3 linked regions of the Saccharomyces cerevisiae S288C genome follow. The gene in region 1 interacts genetically with each later gene. Each region holds a gene or a part of one and is shown on either strand. Other genes may lie near its edges.

What was found. Genes that interact genetically often act in the same process or in processes that back each other up.
Region 2: of MLC1 (region 1) and IQG1, extra expression of one rescues a mutant of the other (dosage rescue), as found in Saccharomyces cerevisiae (2 studies listed by BioGRID).
Region 3: of MLC1 (region 1) and SMY1, extra expression of one rescues a mutant of the other (dosage rescue), as found in Saccharomyces cerevisiae (one study listed by BioGRID).

What each region holds. Positions count from the first base shown.
Region 1 is NC_001139.9:300,372-307,509, forward strand, and holds MLC1 (Mlc1p), read left to right. Parts: upstream 1-6,188; coding exon 6,189-6,638; downstream 6,639-7,138. Other genes in the region: ribosome biosynthesis protein NSA1, read left to right, coding at 1-998; CUE3 (Cue3p), read right to left, coding at 1,166-3,040; YGL108C (uncharacterized protein), read right to left, coding at 3,278-3,700; RMD9 (Rmd9p), read right to left, coding at 3,962-5,902; ARC1 (Arc1p), read left to right, coding at 7,066-7,138. UniProt on the Saccharomyces cerevisiae protein: Essential light chain for the class II conventional myosin MYO1. Also acts as light chain for the class V unconventional myosin MYO2 and for IQG1.
Region 2 is NC_001148.4:88,942-96,854, reverse strand, and holds IQG1 (Iqg1p), read left to right. Parts: upstream 1-1,745; coding exon 1,746-6,233; downstream 6,234-7,913. Other genes in the region: Hsp90 family chaperone HSP82, read left to right, coding at 1-359; GTPase-activating protein CIN2, read left to right, coding at 597-621, 702-1,483; signal recognition particle subunit SRP68, read right to left, coding at 6,539-7,913. UniProt on the Saccharomyces cerevisiae protein: Required for the assembly and the contraction of the actomyosin ring at the bud neck during cytokinesis.
Region 3 is NC_001143.9:284,876-290,253, forward strand, and holds SMY1 (Smy1p), read left to right. Parts: upstream 1-1,727; coding exon 1,728-3,698; downstream 3,699-5,378. Other genes in the region: VMA5 (H(+)-transporting V1 sector ATPase subunit C), read left to right, coding at 155-1,333; DHR2 (RNA helicase), read left to right, coding at 3,970-5,378. UniProt on the Saccharomyces cerevisiae protein: Possible microtubule-based motor that can interact or substitute with myosin 2 (MYO2).

The DNA.
Region 1 (7,138 bases):
AAAGAACCAAGTTGGTGGATGGTTTTGTCACATTATGTCCCATAAAAAAGGATTCGTCGAATAACACATTCGTAGCTGCTACCAAATCGGGATTATTACATATTATAAAAAAAGGAGAAGATAAAAAGTTAATAAAACTAGCATCCCTTGGACTGAAAGCACCAGTAGAATTTCTTCAGTTATATGATCTAGAAGATACCGATACTGATAAATATATATTTGCATACGGAGGGGAGGAGAATTTAATAAAATTAGTGGAAATAGATTCGAGTTTCCAATCTTTAAAGCAAATTTGGGAAGCCAAGAATGTTAAAAACGACAGGTTGGATATGAGAGTCCCAGTATGGCCCATGGCCCTAAGATTTTTGGAGCCCTCCCCTGGTAAAACTGAAAAGGGTAAGCTGAACTACCAGTTTGCAGCCATAACCCGTTGGTCCCACCTCACCAAATACAGCACACAACATGGCAGAAAACCGTTCGCTCAGATAGATTTATTACCTAACCGTGAACCATTATCTCAGATGGAAGTTTTTGATGCCAAGGGAGAAAATGTTGTCTCTTCGTTGGGGAATTTTCAATCTGAAACCTTTAATGAACTGAATGTGATTACTACTGACTACAAAAAGAATGTTTTTAAATTCGATGGTAATGGAAGAATGTTGGGCAAGGTGGGTAGAGATGATATCACTGGTTCGTCAACCTATATTCATGTACATGACGGCAAATATCTTTTACAAGGTGGTTTAGATAGGTATGTTCGGATCTTCGATATAAAAACTAACAAAATGCTGGTGAAGGTTTATGTTGGGTCCCGTATAAATTTTATTGTTATGCTGGATGACGTTGAAATCGAGATGCCACTAAGTCCAAGTGCGAAAGCTGCCAAAGGGAAGCAAAAAAGGAAGGTTACAGAACTTGAAGAAGACGCAGATGAGCTTTGGAATAAATTGGAGGGAAAGGTAGCTGCTTCTAAAGCCAGTAAGAAAAGCAAAATTTAATAGTAAAGGACGCTAATTGAAGGCAAAGTTTTACTAGTCGGCGGGAAAAATTATTAAAAAAAGCACTTCCTGAACGCGACGCTGAATAACTTATAATACGTTACATAATTGTATACCGTCTAGTAAACTTACATACGCTTGTCTATCTTGTATGCTGATGCATTTTATCAAATAGCGTTATTTCCCGCACGAGCCAATTTTTTATCGTGCCCCTTCTTACGGTTATGGTTAGCTCTAGCCCCTTTCCTTTTTTCATTCTTAGCATGCTGTCTTTTCTTCTGTTCAGTAGATTGAGGTTCATGTTTCTTAATATTTTCAGATTTTTTTTGTTTGGCTTGTTCTTTGACGACATTTCCATCATTTTGGCTATCACGATTATGAACATAAGACGTTTTCCCTGTTTTGCTATTTCCTTTGAACATAAACTTCTTTTCTAAAAGTCTTGCTCGGGTAGGAGATCTTTCTAACATCCGACACCAACCTTCGATTTTTTCATCCGACCATGAAGTCATTTCTTTCATAGTTTTCCTGACTTTTGTACCTCTTTTTGATCTCTCAAATAATTTCGGATCCTCTTTCAATAGATTCCACAAGTAAGCTTCAACAATATGATAGTTATGATCTTGTCGCACTTCATTAGAATCATCTTTTGTATCATAGCTTTCTTCGTCTTCTTGAAGTCCAATTCTTTTCGAAGGATCGGACCGGTTCACATCGGCTTCATCATAAGTGTCATCCCTTTCATCTTCATCAGCCTCGTATAAAAGTTTCAATGCTCTTGTCAAAGTTTTATTTCTTAATTCATCCGGAACACCCTCCGAGATAATCTTTTTGTCTAGCTCTTTATTTTTTGAGCTATCTCCTCTATCCAATATACTCAGTTCTTCAGTAAAGGATGCATTATCACCATCTGACACCGGCTCTACTTCTTCCTCCGCAGGTTCTCTGGAGAATGCTTCGATAATGGTAGGATCCTCAAATATTTTATTCGTTACTAATTCAATGTTATTATCATAGGCAAGCAACGTTTGAGATAATTGATATTTAGAAAACTGGGGGAACAATTCCATCAACGCGGACAGTTGTTCTTCATTAACTTCAGTACCTGATGATGTTGGATAGCTCATATGGTCTCCTTCGTCCATTGACAACCCCCCTAAATTCAGAAATAGTAACTTGCTCTTCAAATCAGGAAGCCTTTTGTGGACTCCTTCATTTATGAGCATTGTTCCTAAAAGAGGATATAACGCCAAAGTTTCAAAATTGCTTATGCCTAATTCTTTAGTTATTTTTAGTAAACGATCAGCAGAAACAGAAAATAAACTGATAATGATCAATTCTCTAGCCTCTTTATGACCCCGGCCCTGTCCCTTTGCCCATAATGCCTCTAAAATTTCAATCCAATTTGCCGTAAAGAAGTTCTCCGCAAACTTATTTGGCTGCATGGATTTGGCAGACAGCAGATCTTCAACGCACCTTAAATCTATTCTTTTAAATTTTCCAGATTCTATTAACTGCTTCAAATGCTGTTGAACTTGGTACGATTTGTCCAATTGTACACGTTGCGTGTTGATCCGTGGTTTCAATGAGCCATCGATCAAACCACGAATAGAATCTGGATTACGTCTAACATATACTTTGATCAAATTCCACAGGGAGTCACCAAAAATCTGAAGATGTAATAACCCGCATTTCTTGATCAATGAAAATATCCAGCCTTTTAGTAAATATAACTGTTCAGACACATCATGGTTGATACCGAGACTTAATAACTTTCCTTCCTCATCAGCAATTTCATGCAAGTAAGTTCTCAAAAATAAACGAAGATGATCAAGTGTAGATTCATCTAATAATTCAACGTTAGCACCTTGCATCAAATACTCAAAATACGTTACATAGGTTTCTATTAGATGCAGCCATACTACGGGGTCCTTTTCAATTAATTGAGCTCTGAGTTTAAACGGTGGAAATTTGACAATGGGCAGAGAAATATCTGCATTACCCCCATTTATTTCAATAACGCGGTTGTACCTTGATAACATTATTCTTAGTGATTCTATCCTATAAAAATTTCCAAGATTCAATAGTTAACTCGAATGTCTCTCATTTATGAGAACTAGTGTTTTATATTTTCATTTTTTCTATGGCCGCGCAAAATCCATTGGCAGATATTCAGGTATATAAACGTTACAAAGCCAAGAGGAGAATGGAAGGCCAACAAAAAAATTCTTGTACAATTGCATATATTGATTCATTACAATATTACTGCCGTCGTTCTCTCAGTCATAAATCATGTTTTCCCTTTCCCTCTCAGCATGCTTTTTCTCGGCCTCTTCCATTAAGCGAGTCTTATGAGACTTGGCACGCTCTTGAGCTAGCTTTTTGCCTAACTCGCCCTTATTGTACTTTTCATTCGTCTCTTGAAATCTCTTCTCAGCAGCTAACCTTGCGGCCTCCTTTGGGCTAACTTTATTTTTGCTCGGATCACTTGTATCAGTTAATTTGCTGCCTTCTTTCCTTTGCACAACCGGGACAGTTGTACTCTTTAGTTGTGTCTTCTTCTTTTTATCTTTCTTCTCTTTATGTCGAAGTTCTTGCTTTGACTTGACTGTATCACGATTAATTGGTTTTGTTCTTGCTTTAGTTGCCACCGTCGTAGTTTGTGAAGGCATTGGTTGGGTTTTACTTCCGCAAAGCCCCATACTATGTACTTAAATATTTGTTGTTGTTTGCTGGTGCAAATTTCCTGGATGATGTTAATGATAATTATAGACCGCTTTTATATAGTCTTATGCCTATCCTTTTCATTTTTATTTTTCTAGAGGGAAAAAATCGCTGATTACATGAGGGAAAAAAATATACACATTTCTTGATCATAGAAGATTCGATCTTATATATTATACGTTTAAATGTTTATTTACAAGCATGCATAAATTGAGATGGGGAGAATGAATGCGCTAGTACTATTGCTCCTTAGCAATAAAGCTATGTAGTTGAGGAACAGGAATGTCCTCGGCACTCAAGTCAGAATAACCGCTCAGATACTCATTTAATATTGGGTATGACTCTGCGCATCCAGTGGTATACCTATATACTTGCTTGGTAGCGCGAAAGTAGGGCGTATATCTTTTTAATATTTTCAAGTACAGCTCTATTCTGTCTTCTGAATTCGAAGTAGAATCCTCATTTTTCAAATTTTCCAATGGCTTCGGAACTTTTATGTCGTCTTCTGTGGTCGTAGTCGTTGCTGGTGTTCCTTTAGCTTTTGCAGAAAAGACCTTTTCATCCCTCTTTGATTGTGACCATACGACAGTGGCATCCCTCAAAGCGGACAGATCAGCATTGGCTATATATTGTTGGCCCAATTCATTCAGTTTCTTGACCAACTCCAGCCATCTATCCAGAATCTCTTCATTATTCGTGTTGTCTATGCTTCCCAATGATTTCAGTAGTATTCTATATGATATAATAGTTCTTGGAATATGGTACAAAGTATAGTTTTTATCGATAAAATCGATTATGCTGCGTTCGTGCCAGATAGATGCTCTAGTTAACATAACGTTAAAAAATGGTTCATCAATTTTTTTGACCCCACTGTAAAACGTTATGATTTCTTGAAGCTTACGGAAACCATTGATATTGTCATTAATATAGTTTTCGAAGAATATTGTGAAAAAAGTGTTGTTTAGTGAGGACAAAATTCCAGGATTAACAGTGTTACCATAAAATTTTACAGCCTTTTCCCATATTCTATAAACATGATCAAAATCGTTCTGTGCTTTCCATATATTCTGCAAAAAAGAGTTCACTGTAGAGACTTGTAAAATAATCTTGTATGGCATTTCATCGTTGATAATTTTGTCAAAGAAACTTTCTGCCAACGTTAAATTCTTGGAATCACCAATGAAGCTTAAGTGCGTTTCAATTAAATAACCGTAATTCCTCACTTCAGCCTTTTCACATAATTGGCCGAAGAGGGATAATGCCTTTTCGTAGTCTTCCGCCTTGATGAAGACTTTTATCAGTCCGCTGTAAAGATTGGGATGGATAAATTCTTTGGATTGAATAATTTGGTTATATAGCTCGTTAGGCTCAGTCAGAGAACGCGTTTTTGCATAAAGTAATGGCAGCATAAAACCAACCACTTTTGGTTCTTGGAATGCCTGTGAAGTAGTCTCGTCGGACAAATTCTTTGACGCTTCCCAAATTCGAATACAGTCATCGTCAAATGACAGCTCTTTAAATGAAGTCAATAGATGAGTAGCTCCATATCCGCTGACAGACACCTTGCCTATCAAAATGTCATCAGATATATCCTTTAATGAATTACATAGAAAGTTCATCATTTCCTTGTGAAAAGATTGCGAATCGTAGTCTGGCTTTCTACTTAATTTTACCAATTGGTCTCTCGTCGACCTCAGACCGTTATGCAGCAGATGAATCAAACGTGACACCCGGTACGCATTGAAATCAGGCGATTCTCTCAAAGAATAGTATAACTCCATTGCTCTGCCCATGGAGTCCCAAAACATGGCGAATGATGGATTTTTATTCAATTGGTTGTTTCCTATTCTTTTGTATGTATTTTGCAAAGGCGTGGTAGAGTACTTTAAAGCAGATGATACACACTCATCAAACGAAAGAAGCTCGTGGCGCCATGGAGAAGCTGGATCCACATTAAACACATTCTGTTCTGTTTTGCGCTGTTCTCGCCCATTCTTCTTGTCCAAAACGCCCTTAGGTACATTTTTATGAAATATCGGACTGGAGTGGTAAGTACGGTCGCTAAGAACTACGTTGGCAAGCTTACCTCTCAGCATTGCTATCGAACCGGAGTTAACAACGTTGCTTACGCTTATTTCCATAGTTTTTAACGATCTCACCGCATTTCTTCTAAGCATCATTGTCCCTTTTGCAGTATATGGACTCTCCGAATAGTGTAAGAAAATGACACTGAAACCTCACCTTCTTTTACTTATTGCTTAGACCCTCATTACAATGCCATACTGAATACATTTTTTCGAATCTTGTTCAGTCAGGAACCTCAACCATATATCATTACACACGAGTAGTAACAAAAGCATTTTGAAGTAAGATTTGAAACAAAATAATACTCAGAGTAGATCGACGTATAAGAGTTCCTTCCCCAGCGTATTCCGCCACCACCCATCGCACATACATAGAATAACAATGTCAGCCACCAGAGCCAATAAAGATATTTTCACACTATTCGACAAGAAGGGTCAAGGCGCCATTGCCAAGGATTCCTTGGGAGATTACCTGAGGGCAATTGGCTACAACCCCACCAACCAGCTCGTACAGGACATCATAAACGCGGATTCGAGCTTGAGAGACGCCTCTAGCTTGACGCTGGACCAGATTACAGGCCTAATTGAAGTCAACGAAAAGGAATTGGATGCAACTACCAAGGCAAAGACAGAAGACTTCGTCAAGGCATTCCAGGTCTTCGACAAGGAAAGTACAGGCAAGGTATCCGTTGGTGACTTAAGGTACATGCTAACTGGCTTGGGTGAAAAGTTAACCGACGCTGAAGTAGACGAGCTGTTGAAGGGTGTTGAAGTGGACAGCAACGGAGAAATTGACTACAAGAAGTTCATCGAAGATGTTTTGAGACAATGAGAGTGCGGAACTGCAAATTTAGACATTTATTACTATATAACAGAGTCCTATCGACATAAAAACGAAAAAAGCGCCATTATGCAATGAAAACTTGCCAGCGGTTTTTCATTTTTCATACTGGTAATTCAGAGAGCCAAGTCTTTCTTTATAATGCATAGCAATAAATAGTCATATATATATATATATATATATATATATGTACATATATATGAACATATATATGAACAAATAAATGATAATGGTATGTGATAGTCATTATTAACGATTAAGCGTTTTTCTTCAGTTTCTGAGGGATTCTAACCGCTTGGCGATTTTGCAAGAGATAAGAAAATTTTTCAGTCATATGGATAACCTAACACAGCGTGCGACGTATTTTACTTCAGGGCCCAATTGAATAAGAAAGTATAATATAGAGTTTCAAGAGTCAATGTCCGATCTCGTTACCAAGTTCGAATCGCTTATTATTTCAAAGTATCCAGTTTCTTTCACTAAAGAACAAT
Region 2 (7,913 bases), on another chromosome or scaffold:
GAATCATGAAGGCTCAAGCCTTGAGAGACTCTTCCATGTCCTCCTACATGTCTTCCAAGAAGACTTTCGAAATTTCTCCAAAATCTCCAATTATCAAGGAATTGAAAAAGAGAGTTGACGAAGGTGGTGCTCAAGACAAGACTGTCAAGGACTTGACTAAGTTATTATATGAAACTGCTTTGTTGACTTCCGGCTTCAGTTTGGACGAACCAACTTCCTTTGCATCAAGAATTAACAGATTGATCTCTTTGGGTTTGAACATTGATGAGGATGAAGAAACAGAGACTGCTCCAGAAGCATCCACCGCAGCTCCGGTTGAAGAGGTTCCAGCTGACACCGAAATGGAAGAGGTAGATTAGGTAGAACATCATGGCCTTGAATAGGTTATAAACAAAACATAATATAACGTATAGGTATTCGAATGAATAAATAAGTATGTAAATAGGGCATCTGCATGGAAATAACTGGGTAAAACATTACAATGTATTTTTTTAGAGTTTTCACTATTCCGACGCGTCTAGTGTGTCATACAAAACGCGAAGAATCTGAAATCGTGAAATATACTTAAGAATATAACTGAAATAGCTTAAGCATAAATGGACTTTACTGCGAAGATAAAGGGTATGTTGAAACTCATCTGCTTTCATTATGCGTCCAACTAATTAACATTGCATATTTTCGTATACTATTTTTTTGTGTAGAGCTCGAACGAGAACTCTCAGAGACGAGTGACTATAAGACCTTGCAGAAGAAGACCATAAGTCTTCGAAGTGAGCTGAATACTCTGTCACATTCTTTGACATCTTATGAAAAAGAACACTTCTCCAATGATATAGAAAATGTATTAAAATCTATTAATGCAAAATTATCTGAGTCAAAGGGCAAAAAACGACTATTCTCCTTCAAACAGAAAAATTCATCATCAGCCGTTCATAAGAATGTTGAACGTACGGAGCTTGCGAATGCGCCGGCGTATACCACTACTTTGAAAAAGCATTATGTCTTGGAGAAGGGTGATTCAGCTTTTGAAAATTTAGAGTTTTGTACTGTTACATCAACAACAGATTATAGTGGCAATAGTGCCCTTTCTGGTTCTTTGTGCTTTCGCAATATTACTAAATGTGTCATAAACTTACAAAGGATTTTCTTTCAAACAGGGAGTATTTTCATAACTGATTGTACGGATTCTATAATTTTTCTACGGTCTCCTTCCGACAAGGATTTCCAAATCCGTTTACGTGACTTGAAAAATTGCAAAATTTTGATAGAGAAACTCTCGCCAAGTATCGATTGCAAACAAGTGGTAATCATAGAAAATTGTCACAAATGCATTTTCAACGCAAGCACTCGGGACCACCTAATTATACAAGATTTCTCTAACCCCTTCCAAAGCGAAGAAACTGAGGACAATTCTGCCTTTGCATTTGAAGATTTTGATATTTGTAACAAGGATACAATGCAGTTGTTTCGCGCTTACTTATAGCGCTTTATATTGAGCTACGCATCGCTAAAATTGTTTATTTCGTATATAGTGATTTAAGCATGCCATTAATAGCATATCCTAAAAGAGGAAAGTGTAAACATTACAAATTCTTCCATCTTGAAATTAAGAAACCCTGTTATTGACATCAGAAAACAACAGCTTTTTATTGAAAATAAGAAAGTAGTTGGCCAAAACATAGATTATTTTTTTGAAAAACTTATTGCACCAGTTCAATTATATGTAACAAGGTGGTGCAAAAACAATGACAGCATATTCAGGCTCTCCTTCGAAACCAGGCAATAATAATTCTTATCTAAATCGTTATGTTGAAAACCTAGGCACCAATGTGACTCCACCTCTGAGACCGCAGTCAAGTTCCAAAATCAACTCTTCGTTAAACATAGCGTCGCCAAGTCATTTAAAGACTAAGACGTCAGCTAGCAACAGTTCTGCGACAATTTTGTCAAAAAAAGTAGAAAGTTCCGTATCAAAGCTGAAGCCATCCCTTCCTAACAAACTCGTAGGAAAATATACCGTAGACTTAAGTAATTATTCGAAAATAGAACTGAGGTACTATGAGTTTTTATGCAGAGTATCAGAAGTCAAAATATGGATTGAAGCTGTTATTGAGGAAGCACTACCATCAGAAATAGAGTTATGTGTTGGAGACTCACTTAGGAATGGTGTTTTTTTGGCCAAGCTAACCCAGAGGATAAATCCAGATTTGACAACGGTTATATTTCCTGCAGGTGATAAACTACAATTTAAACACACTCAGAACATTAATGCCTTTTTTGGTTTGGTAGAACATGTCGGTGTTCCGGACTCTTTTAGATTTGAATTGCAAGATCTCTATAACAAGAAGAATATCCCTCAGGTTTTCGAAACCCTGCATATTCTTATATCAATGATTAATAAGAAATGGCCAGGCAAAACGCCCGCTTTAACAAATGTATCGGGCCAAATAAGTTTTACCAAAGAAGAAATCGCAGCTTGTAAAAAAGCATGGCCTAGAATTAGAGACTTCAAGTCCTTAGGAACTAATATCAATACTGCACCAGCTTCCCCTGAGGAACCAAAAGAAAAAAGAAGCGGATTGATAAAAGACTTTAATAAATTTGAAAGGCCGAATATACCGGTGGAAGAAATTTTAATTACCCCAAGAAAGAATATAACAGATGCTAATTGCTCCGATTTTTCTAATACACCTTCACCTTATAATGAAGCTCCAAAAATGTCAAATTTGGATGTCGTTGTTGAGAAGAGGAAATTCACACCCATTGAGCCGAGTCTTCTGGGCCCTACACCATCTTTAGAATATAGCCCAATAAAAAACAAAAGTCTGTCGTACTATTCTCCTACCATCTCGAAATACTTGACATATGATACAGAATTTTATACGAGAAGGAGTCGTGCAAGAGAGGAAGATTTGAATTATTACCAGACGTTCAAATACTCACCTTCTCATTATTCTCCCATGAGAAGAGAAAGGATGACAGAGGAACAATTTTTAGAGAAGGTAGTTCAACTGCAAAATATTTGTCGAGGAGTTAATACCCGTTTTAACCTATACATTCAAAAAAGGTTACTGAACCTTTTTGAACAGGACATACTAAGGTTTCAAGCATGCCTAAGAGGAAATAAATTTAGAGTATTGTCATCAATGTATTTGCCAATAAGAAGAGCAAAGATTGACGTTCCTCATGTCGAGGCGATTCAATCGCGAATTAAGGGAAGCAGAATTCGATATAAATACGATAAATTGAAATTTACACTCTCAAGGTTTTCGTGTACTGTCGAACTTTTGCAAGCATATTGTCGTTCAAAATTGTTGAAGACAACCGTTAACACAAAATTAAATGATATTGAGATATCACATTATCCTCTGACAAAATTGCAGTCTTATATGCGTGCTTCTTATGTGAGAAAGAAGGTGATGTCCCTCAATACAAAGTTGAACGATGAGCGAGAAAGTATTATGAAGTTTTCGGCAATCATCAGAGGTAACGTTGTGAGGTGTTCAGAGGACGCGATATTAAGTGCTGTACATGATGTACATAAGGAAAATATCTCAAAATTGCAAAGCTTGATTAGAGGAATATTTACGCGTTCGTGCCTAGCATCAATAATATATTCACTTGGAAAAGAAAACTGTAATATTATTCAATTATCAGCCTGTATACGCGGAAACGCTGTAAGACATAAGGTACAGTCACTGTTTGCGCCCGAAAATAATCTCAGTGAAACTGTGCACGACCTCCAGGGTTTGGTTAGAGGTATTCTAGTCCGCTACACATTAGACTTAGTCGATGACATTGTGGAGTATAATAATTTAGCATTATTTCAAGCATTTTCTAGAGGCGCTTTAGTACGTGAAAGCTTGGACCAAAAGTCGAGTTTTTACAAGAGAAACGTAAGGTCGGTTATTATGATTCAAAGCTGGATTAGGAAAAGTCTGCAAAGATCGGCATATTTGGAACTTCTAGACTGTCCAAATCCAAGTCTTTGGGCTGTCAAAAAATTCGTTCATTTGCTCAATGGAACAGCAACCATTGAAGAGGTCCAAAACCAGTTGGAGAGTTGCCAAGCCTCTCTTGATTCCGAAAATATGAAGAAGGAACGATTACTGAAGAGCATAAGACAACAACTAAATATTAACGGAGTATTGGATAAGTTTGGACTATTAAAAGATAAAGATCATGAACTCGGTATTTCCGATTCTACGATTCCGAAGTCTAAATATCAAAAGTATGAAAAACTGTTCTATATGTTGCAAGTTGATCCCTCTTATTGGAAATTGCTGTATTTGAAAGAGCCAGAATTTGTTGCAAAGAATGTTTATATGACATTTGGAACAGTGAATCAAAGGATGAACGACAGAGAGAGATCCTATTTCACAAGGTTTGTTTGTGAAATGTTACAAAATGCGATTAATGAAGCACCGAGTATTGAAAGCTTTCTTGACAACCGATCACAATTTTGGCAAACCATTCTTCAAGATTTTTTGAGAAGAGAGTCTCCAGAATTCTTCTCTATAATAGTCCCAGTTTTGGATTACTTGTCAGATCCAGTAGTGGATTTTGAAAGTGATCCATACAAAATTTATCAAGAAATACACGGCTTTAGCTCTCCTCAGCATTGTTCGCCTGTGGATGATGCGAGTACCAAGAATAAGTTCATTGACAATTTAAGGTGCCTATGGCACGCGATTGAAATGGTCGCTGAAATTTATACCAGAAAGGTTCACACTATTCCCGTTGAAATCAGGTACCTCTGCACTAAAATCTTCTGCTACGCGGCAGATAAGAATATTGAGGAGATTGACTCTTTAAGGGCCATATCAAGTATTCTAGTGAACGTTTTTGTGTCTGAATATTTGGTCAACCGGGAATATTACGGATACAAAGACAGCAACGTTCAAAAAAATAACCAAAAAATTGACATTCTAATGAAATCCTTGGCGACTGTTTTTGAAATCAAAAATTTTGATGGCTTTTTGGATCCATTGAACCAGTACGCTAACGAAATAAAGCCTCATATCAAAGATGTCCTTTATAATGTGTTAGTAGATCCAGAGTATGAACAAGAGGGAGATAGATTGATTTATTTGGATATGGTATCGCCAAGCCCCAAATTGGAATTGTTAACTGAAAAGGTTCTGGAAATCAGTGGTAAATTTGAAGAGTATTTAAATGAATTTCCGGAAGCAGATATTTTGCATGATATTTTGGAAAAGAACTTGGACAATTCATCCTTTCCAAGATCAGGACGTGTTACCTTGGAATTGGATGCATCTGCATATCGATTCCTCGTTAGTGATGACAAGATGAGAAAAATCTACGACCAAGTTAAAAGGGCATTTGTGTACATGATGCAAATTGAGGATGTAGATACCAATTTGTATGACCTTTCAATTAGTACAATTCTACCTCAAGATGAACCAAATTTTGCAAATTTTCTGGAGCAAAATCCTAAAATCAGGGATGATCCAATGATACAGAAGCTGAAACCATTGAAATACTTCACACTCAAAAATGTTACTTTGAAAAAAATACATGAACTAGAAAGTACGGGGACTTTTTGCTCTTCTGATAATAAGTTACAAAATTTCTTAAACGATATTGCGAACACTATTAAAAATCCCAACTATGCCATTGATTATGTAACCCAGGAAATTTACATCACAAAGGAAACACTCACAAAAATTTCGGAAATGAACCACAGCTTAGATATAGAATTATCAAGGCTTAAAAAACATGTTGATCATACGATAAAAGACTTCCAGAAAGCCAAGGATTTTTCGCCGGTGCACAAAAGTAAATTTGGAAATTTTAAGAATGCAGTAAAAAAAGTTCAAGGAAGAGAACGTTCTGAATTGCAGGGAATGAAGTTTAAATGGAACACAAAGCAGTTGTATGAAAGAGGAGTGCTTAAAACCATCAGGGGTGAAAAACTAGCTGAACTGACTGTAAAAGTCTTTGGTTCGAGCGGTCCTAAATTCCCAGATATAATATTCAAAATTTCCACATCGGATGGTTCTAGATTCGGTATTCAAATGATTGACAAAAGAAAAGGGCCCGATAAACGATACTCGGATGATGTCGATTCTTTCTCATTTAAAGACTTGATAAAGACTCAAGTTGAACCAAAAATCGAGACGTGGAAATTATTCCATTCCAACGTTGTTGTTAACAATAGCCAATTACTACATTTGATTGTCAGTTTTTTCTATAAAAGGAACGCTTTGTAATAGATAACTCGGTTTTGAGCATATTGGGCAAAAGCTGTTACTAAATTTTCCCATTCTTTCTATTTTTATCTTTGTTTTTATTTTCCTTATTTTCAGCAGCAAAAATAATTTAACGTATAGTTATGTAAAGGACCCTAAACATCTTCTTTTTAGCATGTGCTGTAATTTGGCGATATCTTCAGTAGATAAAAATAAGATGTGTTAAGTAATGCACTTCGTTATTTGGCTACTATAGTTGGCAATCATCATTTGTTTAAATGGAATAATCTATATAGTACTATAAATACAGTCATACTAGAAAAATATTAACGACCAAATAGGCCCAAGAAACCACGCTTCTTTTTAGGCTCTCCTTCCGTCTGCTCATTAGAAATTGGTGTTTGAGAGATGCTCTCGGTTTCTGTGACTGAATCTTTCACTTGAGAAGCTGAGGGCTCTTGCTTATCATATGTTATGTAGTTGAAGGCCAAATCAAAAAGTGTTGGTTTACTAGGAATGGGCAGCATTTTTGGCTTGAGAGGGAATAAATTTTTCAATTGTATGTCCGTTGGCAGTATTTTTTTACTATCCAATTTTTCAATCACTGTCAAATCATATTTCCCTAAGCTGCCACCATGATTTCTTTTTTCGTATTCCGCCAAAGTAATGACACTATTACCACCGTTTTCGATTCTCTTTTGTAAGCTTCGGACAGAATTCAATGACAAAAGATTTGCTGGAAGTAAGATTTCGTCTAGAGATTCAATTTCAGATAATTTGTTTTCTAATCTTCGGTAAGCGTCCACATATAGAGCTAACGCCTCCATATATCTGCCTTTCGACTGATATAAAACACTCAGGCAGCCCGTATTCAGAAATAACTGGAAATACAGCTTGCATAAGTCTAATTGGCTTAGCAGCTCGTCATCTGAATACACACCAGGTAGCTCCATTATGTCCGATAAATATTTTGTCAAATTCTTCACAATACGTTCCATTTCTTTATATTTGGTTAACTTCGATGGTAATGAAGTATTTAATTTCAGCCATTGATTCCATAAATGAGTAAACAAATCTCTTTCACGAGATATAGAGGTCAAAAGAATATTATATTTAATGTAGGCTAAAATTATCTGATTGTTTTCAGAACTATTTTCAACCATCTCGTCTATGTCATCTTGATCGTCGTGGTTTGCGATGAAAAATTCATGACGGTCTAAAGCTTTCTCCAATTTTGATAGCCTCTGTGTATATTGAGTAATCTGAGTTGGGTGGATAGATAGACCTTGTTCCAAAAATTGAGCAACTTCAGCATCGATTATCTTGGCGTTGAAAGATCTCCAGTTTATGTTAGTGGTAACCTTTTGATCTTCAGTTGAGGTTGTAATTTTTTTCATATTGAATCCATTGTCTAATAACAATTTCACAAGCTCATCGTCCTTGTTCTCATCAGATTGAACTCTTTCCACGATAAAGTTATTTATTTCGGGCGTTGTAATTAAATTTCCCGCGTACTGCTTGAGAGAGTACTGGTATTTATTAACAATGTTATCTACAACTTCTTCAGCTAATAAGCTTAGATTCTTCAAGTGTTCCAATGCGGCGAAAACGAGGGCTAGGTTGTTCGAAATTTTGGCATTGTCCTTCCTCTTGAACCTTTTTCCATTAATTAGGTACTCTGAATGTACCAATTTAGCGAAC
Region 3 (5,378 bases), on another chromosome or scaffold:
ATAGTGCAACACGTCTGGTGATATCATGTGCTTTCAAGCAGGATTTGTCACAGTGCTTTAGAAACACAAACAAAGGAGGTATATAGAAGTTGCAGTTGCTAGAGTTTGTTTTCTTACCTAATTCTAGATCAATTCTTTTTTCTGAAAAAAAAAAATGGCTACTGCGTTATATACTGCAAACGATTTCATATTAATCTCGTTGCCTCAAAATGCTCAACCTGTTACCGCCCCTGGCTCCAAAACTGATTCATGGTTCAATGAGACCTTAATCGGGGGTAGGGCATTTGTTTCTGATTTCAAAATTCCCGAATTCAAAATTGGCTCTTTAGACACATTGATAGTTGAATCGGAAGAACTGTCTAAAGTAGATAACCAAATTGGGGCTTCTATTGGCAAAATCATTGAAATTCTTCAAGGCCTCAACGAGACCAGCACCAATGCTTACAGGACTTTACCTATCAATAATATGCCAGTTCCTGAATACTTGGAAAATTTTCAATGGCAAACCAGAAAGTTCAAGTTAGATAAGTCTATCAAAGATTTGATAACATTGATTTCTAATGAATCTTCTCAATTAGACGCCGACGTCAGAGCTACTTATGCAAATTACAACAGCGCTAAAACTAACTTGGCTGCTGCTGAGAGAAAGAAGACGGGTGACCTTTCTGTCAGATCCTTGCATGATATTGTCAAGCCCGAAGACTTCGTTCTTAATTCTGAACATTTAACTACTGTTCTAGTAGCAGTTCCCAAAAGTTTAAAATCCGATTTCGAAAAATCGTACGAAACTTTATCCAAGAACGTTGTACCAGCATCTGCCAGCGTGATTGCAGAGGATGCTGAGTATGTTTTGTTCAATGTTCATTTGTTCAAGAAAAACGTTCAAGAATTCACAACAGCTGCTAGAGAGAAGAAATTCATTCCTCGTGAATTTAACTACTCGGAGGAATTAATTGACCAGTTGAAAAAAGAGCATGACTCTGCTGCCAGTTTAGAACAATCTTTGCGCGTCCAGTTGGTAAGATTGGCCAAGACAGCTTATGTCGATGTTTTTATAAATTGGTTCCACATCAAGGCCTTGAGAGTTTACGTGGAATCTGTTTTGCGTTACGGGTTGCCACCTCACTTTAACATCAAGATTATAGCTGTCCCACCAAAGAATCTCTCTAAATGCAAGTCTGAATTAATTGATGCTTTTGGATTTCTTGGTGGCAATGCCTTCATGAAGGATAAAAAAGGGAAAATTAACAAGCAAGATACTTCTCTTCACCAATATGCTTCTCTTGTCGACACAGAGTATGAACCATTTGTGATGTATATAATCAATTTATAATCGATTTATAATACTAACTTAGATTAATATATATTTCTGTTTTTTTTTTAGAATTTTCAACTTTTTTATTCATAGAGATAATACACTGTGATTGTGAATGTTTGAATAGTAATGGAACATAATCCGATAAAATATGCTTTTGATGAACGATTAGACATTTTTCAATTTTGTCGTTGAGTTCCAATCCTTCCTTATTTATGGTTAACAAGGAAAGAGGTGGAAGTTAAAAAAATGGAAATTAAAAAAAAAAAAAAATCAAAAAAAGAAAAATAAAAATAGAAAAATTGGCACGGAAATCTACAGGATTTAGCACTAGTAGGGGGTTTATTAAGCACTACAGGTCGACTTTAAACCAGAAAAAATTATCATTCAGGGTAGGTGCAAACTTGTTAAAATGCACTGGAATATAATTTCGAAAGAGCAAAGTAGCTCTTCTGTATCGTTACCAACTCTAGACAGCAGTGAACCCTGTCACATCGAAGTTATCCTCAGGGCGATACCCGAAAAAGGATTACAAAACAATGAGTCGACCTTCAAAATAGACCCATATGAAAATACTGTGCTATTTCGCACAAACAATCCGTTACATGAGACAACCAAGGAGACCCATTCAACATTTCAATTCGATAAGGTATTCGATGCTAACGCCACTCAAGAAGATGTTCAGAAATTTCTGGTGCATCCAATAATAAATGATGTTTTGAATGGTTATAACGGTACTGTAATAACATATGGACCAAGTTTCAGCGGAAAGTCCTATTCCCTTATTGGATCAAAAGAAAGCGAAGGAATTCTACCGAACATATGCAAGACCTTGTTTGATACGCTAGAAAAAAATGAAGAAACAAAGGGAGATAGTTTTAGCGTAAGTGTTTTGGCATTCGAAATATATATGGAGAAAACGTATGACTTATTGGTACCTTTACCTGAAAGAAAACCATTAAAGCTTCACCGTTCTTCAAGCAAAATGGACTTAGAAATCAAAGATATTTGTCCGGCACATGTCGGATCGTATGAAGACTTAAGAAGCTACATTCAGGCAGTCCAAAACGTCGGCAATAGGATGGCATGTGGCGACAAGACAGAGAGATCAAGATCACACCTAGTTTTTCAATTACACGTAGAACAAAGGAATAGAAAAGATGATATATTAAAAAATAGTTCTTTATATCTGGTTGATTTACACGGGGCAGAGAAGTTCGATAAAAGAACTGAAAGTACGCTATCACAAGATGCGTTAAAAAAATTAAACCAATCTATTGAGGCGTTGAAAAACACTGTGCGGTCCTTGTCAATGAAAGAGCGTGATTCAGCCTACAGCGCAAAAGGATCACATAGTTCTGCTTACCGTGAATCGCAATTAACTGAAGTGTTAAAAGATTCCCTTGGGGGAAATAGGAAAACAAAGGTGATATTGACATGTTTCTTAAGTAATGTTCCAACTACCCTATCAACACTAGAATTTGGTGACAGTATTAGACAGATCAATAACAAGGTTACAGATAACACCACAGGTTTAAATCTGAAAAAAAAAATGGATCTATTTATTCAGGACATGAAAATTAAGGATGATAATTATGTTGCCCAAATTAATATACTAAAGGCTGAAATAGACTCTTTAAAAAGCCTTCACAATAAATCTCTTCCCGAAGACGACGAGAAAAAAATGTTAGAAAATACAAAGAAAGAAAATATCAAACTAAAGCTTCAATTAGACAGTATTACCCAATTATTGAGTAGTTCTACCAATGAAGATCCTAACAATCGTATTGACGAAGAAGTTTCTGAAATATTAACGAAAAGATGCGAACAGATTGCTCAGCTTGAGTTATCTTTTGATCGACAGATGAATTCCAATTCTAAGTTGCAGCAAGAGTTAGAATACAAAAAGTCAAAAGAGGAAGCCTTAGAGTCTATGAACGTTAGGCTACTAGAACAAATTCAGCTTCAGGAAAGAGAGATTCAAGAGCTTTTAACTACTAACGCCATCTTAAAGGGTGAACTAGAAACTCACACTAAACTTACTGAAACACGCAGTGAAAGGATAAAATCTTTGGAAAGTTCTGTCAAAGAGCTTTCTCTTAATAAATCTGCAATCCCATCTCCTAGAAGAGGGTCTATGAGCTCGTCATCAGGAAATACTATGTTGCATATCGAGGAGGGTTCTGAAATATCAAATAGCCCTTGGTCAGCCAATACTTCCTCAAAACCTTTAGTATGGGGCGCGAGAAAGGTTTCTTCTAGCAGTATAGCAACCACTGGATCACAGGAGTCTTTTGTGGCAAGACCGTTCAAGAAGGGATTAAACCTCCATTCGATAAAAGTCACTTCGAGTACTCCAAAAAGTCCCTCTTCTGGAAGCTGACTATAATTAAGTTCGATAATTGTACGATACAACTGTGTAGTATCTTTGTAATTATAATCATGATGATAACGCTAATAATTTGTACGTATAATGCTGACTGAAAGATGTACTTTTCTTCTACCGTTTTTCTTCGGCGGCTATTCGTTTACAATGATTTGGAAAAATGAGAAAAATTGAAAATAAAAAATTCTGCTCGATGAGATGAGATGAGGTTATGATATATATGTAAGAATTCCTCAAGAAGAGGTTGCAAGAGTCTGCAGACATTATCATGGCAGCAAATAGCAATAGTAGAGTTGCATCAAACCATACTTCTAAAAAACAAAAGGTTAGGAGGAATATACATCCATTCACGAATAACACTCGGATTAAAAGAGCTAGTAAAATCGTAAAGTTTAATGATTCAGGCGAGGGCGACCATGTTTCAGACCAACGTTCGAACAAGGAAAATGTCCTTACTTATAAATCTTTGAAAAGTCGGGCAAGCGATTTACTCAAAATGAGAGAAACACTTCCCGTTTACCAACACAAGCGAGAAATAATGTCATATATTGAAAGCAATCCCGTTACCGTCCTTATTGGTGAAACAGGTTCTGGTAAATCAACACAAATTCCGCAATTCGTATTAGAAAAATTATATGATACGAAGAAGCATGGGTCGATTGCTGTAACTCAACCCCGTCGTGTTGCGGCCATCAATTTGGCTACACGTGTTGCTCAAGAACATGGTTGCAAACTGGGTGAACAAGTAGGTTATTCTGTCAGATTTGACAATACGACTACTACAAGAACAAGACTTAAGTATCTGACTGACGGTATGTTACTTAGAGAACTTATGATGAATAGTGACCTTAGAGAATACAGCGTCATCGTTATCGATGAAGCGCATGAAAGAACTGTGCTTACAGATTTGATATTGGGGTTCTTAAAATCCTTGATACAAGGGCCAAGACCTGATTTGAGAATAATTGTTATGTCTGCAACATTGCAAGCCGAAAAATTTAGTGAGTTCTTCAATAATGCCCCAATCTTATTTGTAGAAGGAAGAAAATTTGATGTCAAACAATACTACTTGAAGGCGCCAACAGATGATATAGTAGACGCTGTCATCAGGTGTTGTATACAAATAAACCAAGGTGAAGAACTGGGAGATATCTTATGTTTTTTACCGGGCCAAGAAGAGATTGACAAAGCAGTGACTATAATGGAGAAAATTGCAAAGTATGTTTCAGATGAGGCCCCAGTACCATTAATAGTTCCTTATCCTTTATATGCAGCTCTTCCCGCGGTCCAACAGTCCTTGGTCTTCGCTCCGATAAAGGGTTTCAAGAGAAAAGTCGTCTTTAGTACCAATATTGCAGAAACATCTGTTACCATATCCGGTGTTAAATTTGTCGTTGATTCTGGTCTTCGAAAAGTCAAAGTTTGGAGACATCAGCTGGGATTAGCCACTCTACTTACCGTACCCATTTCTCAGGCAAGTGCGATGCAGAGAAGTGGTCGTGCTGGTAGAGAAAGTGAAGGAAAGAGTTTCAGGCTTTATTGTGAGTCTGATTATGTGAAATTACCTAAACAAAGTGAACCTGAAATAGCCAGAAGTGACGTCACATCTCCTGTGTTAATGTTGAAGAGATATGGTGTTGATGACCTGCTAAACTGGACCTGGTTTGAGAACCCTGG